Linked DNA regions of Tribolium castaneum. The protein of the gene in region 1 purifies or fractionates together with the protein of each later gene. This does not show direct contact. Links are inferred from orthologs where the notes say so. Each region holds a gene or a part of one and is shown on either strand. Other genes may lie near its edges. The genes, in order: DNA (cytosine-5)-methyltransferase PliMCI and Sirt1.

Region 1 (4,423 bases):
AGGCCAAGAATTTTTGTCGCGTTATAAAAATGATTTAAAAAGCAAAATCTCGGTCAAATTGTAGCACCGTAACAGAACAGTAAAAAATAAAATGTAAACTTACCTCCCTCTCTCAAAGCCAGTCTTGTGCAGCTATACGTGGGTGGAACTAATTCACCACAGTCTGGATCGTATTGCTGTCTGAAATAGTAGCGATAAGGGCCCCCCTCGGACCATTCCCGCGCCTTCTGTTCGTCAGAACAGTAAACAACATAGCACTTCCCCATCACTTTACGAAACGGAACTGTTATAACTGAAATATCAATTGGCAATTTATCACACTACTGGTATTTGGGCAGTTTATAGGAACTGTCTGAAAGAGATCTATGGAAACGATAGTTTTGTACGACTCGGAAATAATTAAGAAGAATATAGCGTTAGTGTAGTATTTACATTTAGTGGACCAAAACAGCAGATTGATGTCAGACTGATACGATAACATGCTGCCACCCTTTGTGTTTTCAGGCCGAAAAAACACCCGAATCGCCATCAATACCCCGGCGGGTCCATCGCATAGGGTCTCGATTAATCCAATGCAGAACGGTTGGGGCATTTTTTTGCAAGAAGCGTTAGCTTCGCGTTTTCGGTAGTACTCCGGGTATTTGCTCTCATTCATCTCTTTCGCCTGAAAATTATCGTAAACACGGGAAAATGCAAGTCTTATAATTACATCATCGAAAGTGCACTCAACGGGAATCGGGAATTGATAAACCGAAGGATCCAAAAAAACCGAGTTCCCTGCTTCGTAAAACTCGTTGCGCCATTGGACTTTGTTATCTTTGAAAGTGGGAGTTTCAATCTTCTTTCGTTCCTCGTTCAACCTGAATTTCAAAACGTACCAACGGTGGGCAAAAAGTGAAAAATTACCTGCAATGTCCGCACGAATCCAACTCATTCCTGACTTTAACATAGTCCGTGAACGTGGCAGTCTCACTGTCGTACTGTTTTGCGTAAAAAAACCTATCATCGCCAGATGGCAAACACTCAATCCCGCCCAAATCGGCCCAATTGTCGGGCGTTGCTTTGTAAACAACCTACCGGAAAAATTGGAAAAAATTCGATCTTATAATTGCATTACCTTGGCCTGTCCTACTATGGCGGCAACCGGGCAATCCTCACATTCATTTGAAGCGAAAAGTTCTTGCGGATTGGCTACTTCCCCTAAAATCGTTTCATTGCCGCGGTAGAACAAATACACATGGACCATTGGTTCCGTAGCCGTGTATATGTTAACAACTCGGGCGATTGTGTTCGGTTTGGTTGCACTTTTGGGCGATAACTGGACAAAATCGCCGGTCTTGATGTTGAGTAAAATGCCCGTGTCGTCATCATTAACCCCACCTAACGATTGATGATATGAGCCCAAGTTAATTCAGAAGAATGTGATTTTACCAAGAACTATATCAATCGATTCGCGGAAATTCTGAAGGGGGCCGTCGCTCAGGACCCGGCTCACGCCAGGTCTGCGGCCGTCCTCCCGCCCCCTGGCTGGTGTCACGACAGTTTCGTCGTCACTCTCGTCCAACTCTTGCACGACCAAGTTGGGGCAACGTCTCAGCTTGCAGGGCTGTTTCATGTTGCCATCACCGCCGAACTTGACCATGTCTTTGCAGTAAACGCACTGGCCGCAGTCGGGCGACCGACACGTGTCGCAAATGCCACACCGTGTCTTTTTGGGCGACTGGCAATTTTCAGTCTGGATTTGATTCGGGAACAACTGTTCGAACAATTGGCGGACTAGCGGCGTGGCTGTGGCTTTGCTCAACTGGAGCTTAGTTCTCTACAATGAGTAAAGTTGCAATCGAGTGAAATACAATTAAGCAGCTACCCTTTGGTTCCCTAAAAGATTCCGCATGAGTTGGCGCTTCCGGAAGCTAACACCAGCCAAACTCGCCAAAGTTCGAACGCATGGCATTGTGAGTAACGGCATGTCGTTGTTGTCCCCAGCGTCCAAGTCGAAGCTGTGGATCTGATCGCACACAAACTGGGCGTTTTGCAGGAGAAATTCCTCGGTCAACAGTGGGTTATCGCTGTTTTCCACTGCGGCCAGTAGCTCCTCGTAGGAAGGAGCGCGGCTGAAATTGCTTAGTAGGAACTCAATAACGAATTTAAACAAAACGGTTTTCTCTTGGAGGCTTTTGAAAATGGGGGCGTATTCCAGCGAGGGCTCCATTAAAACGTACTGGGCGTAGTTAGTGATAATCCCCAGTAAGACTTTCTCGCCCCCGTCAAAACCGGCAATGAACCACTCGTGAATGGGCCCCATGTCAAGCGTTGCAATGCCATTTTCGGGGCTCGGGTCGTCGTCGAAAATTGGTTTAATGTAACCCCCGATATGCAAATAGACCTCTTTTTGCAACAACCCGGTGTCAAGGGGGCACAAGTGGTCATTCAAGTCGTAAATACTGAAACAAGTTATCTAAGAGGCAATGGCATGTTCCTGGAAGATCATATGGAACTTTACTTTGTGACTGGGCAAGTCGCCCTCCTCAAAACTGATGTTTTCGGTACCGTTGTACACATTCAGTCTTTCGGATGTTAAAGCAACAGACTCCTCGGCATAGTCATCGGGGAAATTTGTGTAAACTACTGCCTGATTAAGAGTTTGTGCGCAAAATTTGCACTTGTCTGAATGAGTAGAGGTTCGTTTGTGTTTTTTCGTGTTGTCCCCCGTTTCCTGTGCGGGAGACTCTCTAAACCTGTAAGGTACGACTCTACTACTACTTGTCTACTACGAAAGAACAAATTACCTTTTTCTTAAGGACATTATTGAAGAATTTAGCGAATAACTAGAGACTAGACTAGACAAAACAAAACTTCTCGAGTTACTGAAGTGGAAGGGTAACTCGCGCCAAATAGTTATAAAATGCGCAAACGCGGTGTTAGAAAATTTAATTTTCGGCGGGGAGCAAATGTTTTACTGGTTGCATGTTTGTGGACAAAAAATATACACAGCGAGTTAAAAAACCCATAAAATTCCTACTTAATTAAGCAAAAAAACAATCGCAATAACTCATCAAAAACCAATGACGTCACAAACGTAGTATTTTTAAAAATAAAATCAACATGTATGAATTTTTTATGCGTTACTTGAGCTCACCTTGTATAACAGTGAGTGGGAAACGTGGCAATTTTTTTTTCAAACCTTTATCTTGTTGACTTTTCATTGTGAAATGTATTTCGGAATTCGAAATTAAAAATTCACGTCACGAAGCTTGTTTTGACAAAATCTGGCTTAACAGTGTTAATAATTGGACTGCTGGGCAGAACAAAAAAAATATTAATATACAAATGGAATTTATTTTTACCATACCCTTCACGTGTAAATTGGTAAAAATTATTGTAGGTAGTAATTTACTTACCTGTGTGGTGTAGTGGTTGAATAATAAATGTTGCAGAATATTGTTTTGAAAAAAACTTGAAGGGTTTGCCGGAATTAAAAAGAATTTAATGTATTTAGCATTTACTTAATTTTTACAATATGCAATCATACATAAGATGAAATATACCTACAGCCAGAAAAATATCACCACATATTTTAAACTACATTTGAGTTCTATAGCAAGACTGCTTTTTCTAATAACGCAAGTTGCATTGTTTTACAGTCCATACTTGTTCATTAACAGAGTTCAATGTAACATCTAAAATGGGATGTATAAAACATTTTCTAAATATACATAGAAAATTAAAACTTGTATAAAAACACCATTTTCGGTACTTCCTTTGTACATTTATTTATTTCATTATCAGACATGTATAAAGCATTCGCACAGTAATACCAAACATGAAATAAGAGAACTGAGTGCGCAGGAAAAATAAAAGGGATGACCACCATCATCATCACCGTTTCGTTATTATCATTATCATCATCATACCAGGCAGCAACTCGAGAGCTACAGCACTACCATACTCTGTTATTCAAATTAATAAATACATAAGTAACATGGATGTTTGACATTTCCAGAAAGACGTATGTTTGCTTAATTTACAAAATGGTACAATTATGGGTTGGTTACACTAGGTGAATTCATTAGCTATCGGAGATCCGGATCTCACGGCGACTCTCGCCATTTGTCCCATTACACTCACACATACACACTGTTCATTGGTAAAGTTTAACTATTCACGCTATACATAGAGGTCTGTACACCAGTCCAAGGCCGCAAGAGTATCTACAGAGGGATTAGCTGCGAGATATTTGAAATAGTACTTTGGAAAGCAGGAGTGCCACCTGCTGATCTAAAATTTGACTCATAACAAGCGCCAACAGCCTCGATTCTTGTTGGACCAACAACGGTTTGTTATCCGGATGCCGCGCCAGAAACACTAACGTCGCCGCCGCTCTCCTCAACATATCCAGACTCGTTCCCATCGAATCGGGATT
Region 2 (4,311 bases), on another chromosome or scaffold:
AAAATTAACAAAATATGCTTAAAGGAATGATAATATATTTTAAAGAACTTACTTCAAAGATCAGATTTTTTACAATTTTCATTGGTAAAGTTTGGGGGTGTCCCATAAATTTATATAAATAGTCCCATAAATAGTGTCAAATTCACCCTGTATGTTTAAAATCTATATTTCCTATTTTTTTGAATTTTAAAGTAAGAAATTAGTGATTTTAATGGTTATAAGGCCAATCTTACCAACCCTAGTGTCGTCTGAGTTATTTGTGTAAATATTAAGTTAACATTGTAGTGTTTATGTAACTGCATAATTTACACTTGTCATTTCACTGTAGTAGTCTTTTTTCTTGGAGTAAATTTAAATTAAATTTAAGAAAATTATATAAGGTCCATAAAAATCCCAAATGAAGAAAATTACAAACATAGGTAACGTGTAATTTTTCTAGGAAAAAAAAATAAATTCTAATTCACTAAGATCAGGTCAGACACAATATTTGTAGATTTTTCACTACTTTAAAGTTGAAGTTCCTCTCCCACAGGTGATCCATCGTATCAACACTTTACTTATCGAATGTTTATCATAGTATCTCATGTTACAAGAGTTTTAACTTAGTCTGCGTCTTGAGAATTTTGAAATACGCTTTTTGAAATTGATTTTTTTTTTGTAATTTCAATAAATCCATAAATCTGTCTCTTTTGGGGTGATATTATAGGTGTGTTACCTTTGCACGATTTCGCAGTTTCCAAGAAAAAATGTTCAATAAGGTTCTGCCCACATCGACTTACGTCTAAAAATAACTAATTAAACTGAAGAAATTCCCTGAATTACAACAATAAATTAGAAATACAAATTATTGCTTTATTTGTTTTTCTCTAAAAGAATTTTACATCCTTCCAGCATAAATTTTTACCAACAATACCTAACTTAATCTTTTAGCATATATTACATCATTTGTAATATTTGAATCGATTTGTAGTCTGTAGATTTTTTTTTCAATACATGCGATACTACGTATTAATACTTCCAGATCATAAATTTTATTATATTTGTCTCCAAAAATTTCAAATATTTGAGAAGAAAAAATTAATACAAATCACTTTTCCACTCATCTTTCGTTCAAAAAAGATAAACTTTCTTGAAGAATTCACACTGCATCCTTTTTGTTTGCATTAAATTGCATAATAATATGATAGTGTGTACACTGCACAGACCTTAAGATGTGAACTGATCTTAAAGCAAAATGTCAAAAACTGCTTTTTTTAGAAAAATCGAGTCAAATTATTTTAAAATGTGATTTCTTACTTATTAGACGGTGAATAATTTTGCCACAATAAATTATTCAAAAAAAAAAATGTAAAACAAAGGTGTTTGATAAGACTACAAAGAGCTTTCCTATTTAAATTTGGGAAAAAAACTATCAGTCAAAAATTCATTTTTTCACTAAAAACCACCTTTTTTCAAATTGACATCTCTTCTCTTCACATTTGACCACTAATGAAATTTAGCTTCGAGTGCAAGTGCAAGAAGTATTTTAAAATAAAAATTAAGAAAAAATAGAAGATCAAATTCAGAAATTTTATAAACATTAAGATGAAACTAAAAAACTATTTGATTTTTATTATATTCTAATTAAAAAATTACAAAAAAACTAGAGCTCTAACTTTAACAGAAATAAAAAAAATCCTGAATTAAAAAAAATTATTTCACTTGATGTCATTCATCTGTTTTTTTTTTAGAAAAATCGAATTAAAATATTTTAAAATGTGATTTTATACTTATTACCACAAATAACTTGTTTAATAAAAACGTTTATTTTTAAAAAAACCTGAAAAAAAATTCCTAAACACTGACTAATCCTGAATTTATAAAAATACCAATAAATAAATTGTACAAAAAAACAAATGTAAAACAAAATATTTCATGAGACTATGAAGAGCTTACCTAAATCTAAATTTCGGAAAAAAACTAGATATAAAAATTATTTTTTTCCTAAAACCATTTTTTTTAATTAACATCCCTCCTCTTAGCTTAGACTATACATTAAAAATTAAGAAAAAATAGCAGATCTGAAGCAGTCAAATTCAGAAATTTTATAAACATCAAGATAAAACTAAAACGTATTTGATTTTTATTACATTCAAGGCAAGTTCTCAAATTCAAAGAATATAAAATTAAGACAAAAAACATGAGTGAATTTATATAAAAAAATGCTCACTAAAAAAAAACAAGTTCTTTAAGAATTCCCCCACGTGATGAATTGATGCTACCTTAGATTTTCCATTTATCACCATAATTTAATCAACAGATTTGAAAATGTTCCATGCAACACGCGGTTTTGACATAAAAACATAAACTTAACCTCTTTTGCAAACAAGTCAGTCGTAAACTGTCAGTAGTATTCCACCTTTTTTTTCCGACTATTTTTATAGTTTTTGTCCGAAATGGAATATTTTCCACAAGCTTTATGCACAATACCACCAAAAATACACCAAACATAACCCTGACAGAACTCAACTGAAACAAGGTAAATAAAACCACTAAATTTAAAAAAATCATTAAAATTTTATTTCTAATATTTTCAAATATAACTTAACAAAGAAAAACGACTATGTGAAGCGAAACGAACGACAAGCACCCGTTCTGAGTCAAAAATGAATCAACCGCAAATTTTACAAGTTCATCAGTCATTTCGATCCTAGCACCACGCCTACAAAATGTCTGCTAAATCGCCTTTGTTCTCGTCGCCATATTGGATGAGAAATTTTCCCTAAACAAGCAAACATATTTTAGAAATTTTACCTTCGGGGATGTCAATCGGGCCGCCAGCTGATGTGGAATAACTAGAAAAATCGCCCCCATTGCACAATTCACCTATATTCGACTCTCTTAGGTCGAGTTTAATTCGTTTCGCACTGGATTCGTGTTCAGCAACGTCAGGATAGGTATCCATCTTTGACACGAATAAAAATCTTTTCGAGCATCGAGTCGCCAGTGCCGGAGGAATTCCTGCGCGCGCATCCAGCGCCTACCCACAATCCCTTGCGTCGTCTGTGCACCGCCAGATAACAGACAGCAAATTTCTTGTGAAATATTACAAATTATTTCGGCGTTTTTGCAAACTTTTCGGCCCTTTTCCACACCGCCGTGTAGTCGCCCACACAATGCCGAAGAATAAAGGTGAGACTGCTCCGCGCCCCTAACTGCGTATGTTGCCAATTTGCGACATATCGACACCTCGCGACCACACGTTCCGTTTTGACAATTATTGGGGCACATTTTGCAATAAACGGCCCGAAAATTGCCAAAAGTTGTGGACTACAAGTGGGCAAAATGTGCAAATTGTGTCCCCTTGTGGCTAATGTCAAGTTCACATAGTGACGTTTTGTTTTAATATGTCATTCCAGGAAAGGGAGGTAAGAACCGTAGAAGGGGTAAGAACGAAAATGAAACGGAAAAACGTGAGCTGGTCTTCAAGGAAGATGGACAGGAGTATGCACAAGTCACAAAAATGTTGGGGAATGGACGGCTGGAAGCAATGTGCTTTGATGGCGTTAAGAGGTTATGTCACATACGAGGCAAGCTTAGGAAGAAGGTAATTTGCAAGAGCTAAAGTCTGATGTTTTTGCCATTATTCTGTATTTTTTATGGTAATCGACGTAAGTTATACTGAATTTGCGCTTAGGGTCTTGTTACAATAAAAAAATTAAATTGGCCAAATTTTTAGTATGAAGCGTTCTGTGAGGGACAGCTCATTTGAGCTTTTTGGAGTAAAATAAAGTTCAAATTGAGAGTCTGCATAAGGAAAGATATCTGTGTTAAACTGAGTCCCAGCGACAAGAAAACCCACCAAATTCCATTTCTTTTTAACGTTATCTACACATGAAACCTTAATTTGGTTTGTGTATCTTCTGTATCCGAAATGTTATGATTTATTGCGAAATTTGGTCAAAAAACAAAATCACATCTGTACCAATTGCCGGAAGAATTTAGCTGCAAAACATAATTTTGAACTTTTGCAAAGTGTTCTACCTAAAAACCTTTTGAAAAAAATGGTTATTGCATATTGTTTTTTGGAATTAGATTTATTATCATTATTTTAATATGGGAGGTATAATTTGACATTCTAGAAGAGCGGCTTTTTTCTCAGTTGACATGTGAATTTAAATGTAAAGAATTTTGTTATTTTATTTTGAATTTTTTTCGAATGTCTGTATAATTAACTTGTTGAAAATAATAATATGTTAATCAAAGTTTCATAATAATCAATAAAAATGCTCATATTAGGACAAACCTAGCCAGCTGGGAAACAAAAAATTT

Evidence for each region.
Region 2: the proteins of DNA (cytosine-5)-methyltransferase PliMCI (region 1) and Sirt1 purify together in Homo sapiens (affinity purification with western blotting; 3 studies listed by BioGRID and IntAct, with this or other methods). This does not show direct contact. The link is inferred for Tribolium castaneum from reciprocal best matches to the Homo sapiens genes DNMT1 and SIRT1.

Annotation. Positions count from the first base shown.
Region 1 is NC_087403.1:4,025,674-4,030,096, forward strand, and holds the start of DNA (cytosine-5)-methyltransferase PliMCI, read right to left. Parts: upstream 2,921-4,423; 5' UTR 2,807-2,920; coding exon 2,790-2,806; intron 2,739-2,789; coding exon 2,504-2,738; intron 2,459-2,503; coding exon 1,868-2,458; intron 1,820-1,867; coding exon 1,432-1,819; intron 1,381-1,431; coding exon 1,118-1,380; intron 1,074-1,117; coding exon 907-1,073; intron 861-906; coding exon 710-860; intron 665-709; coding exon 433-664; intron 293-432; coding exon 104-292; intron 1-103. Other genes in the region: trithorax group protein osa, read right to left, coding at 4,223-4,423. UniProt on the Homo sapiens protein: Methylates CpG residues. Preferentially methylates hemimethylated DNA. Associates with DNA replication sites in S phase maintaining the methylation pattern in the newly synthesized strand, that is essential for epigenetic inheritance.
Region 2 is NC_087394.1:11,915,632-11,919,942, reverse strand, and holds the start of Sirt1 (NAD-dependent protein deacetylase sirtuin-1), read right to left. Parts: upstream 2,945-4,311; coding exon 2,794-2,944; intron 1-2,793. Other genes in the region: eIF1A (eukaryotic translation initiation factor 1A, X-chromosomal), read left to right, coding at 3,156-3,171, 3,399-3,586. UniProt on the Homo sapiens protein: NAD-dependent protein deacetylase that links transcriptional regulation directly to intracellular energetics and participates in the coordination of several separated cellular functions such as cell cycle, response to DNA damage, metabolism, apoptosis and autophagy.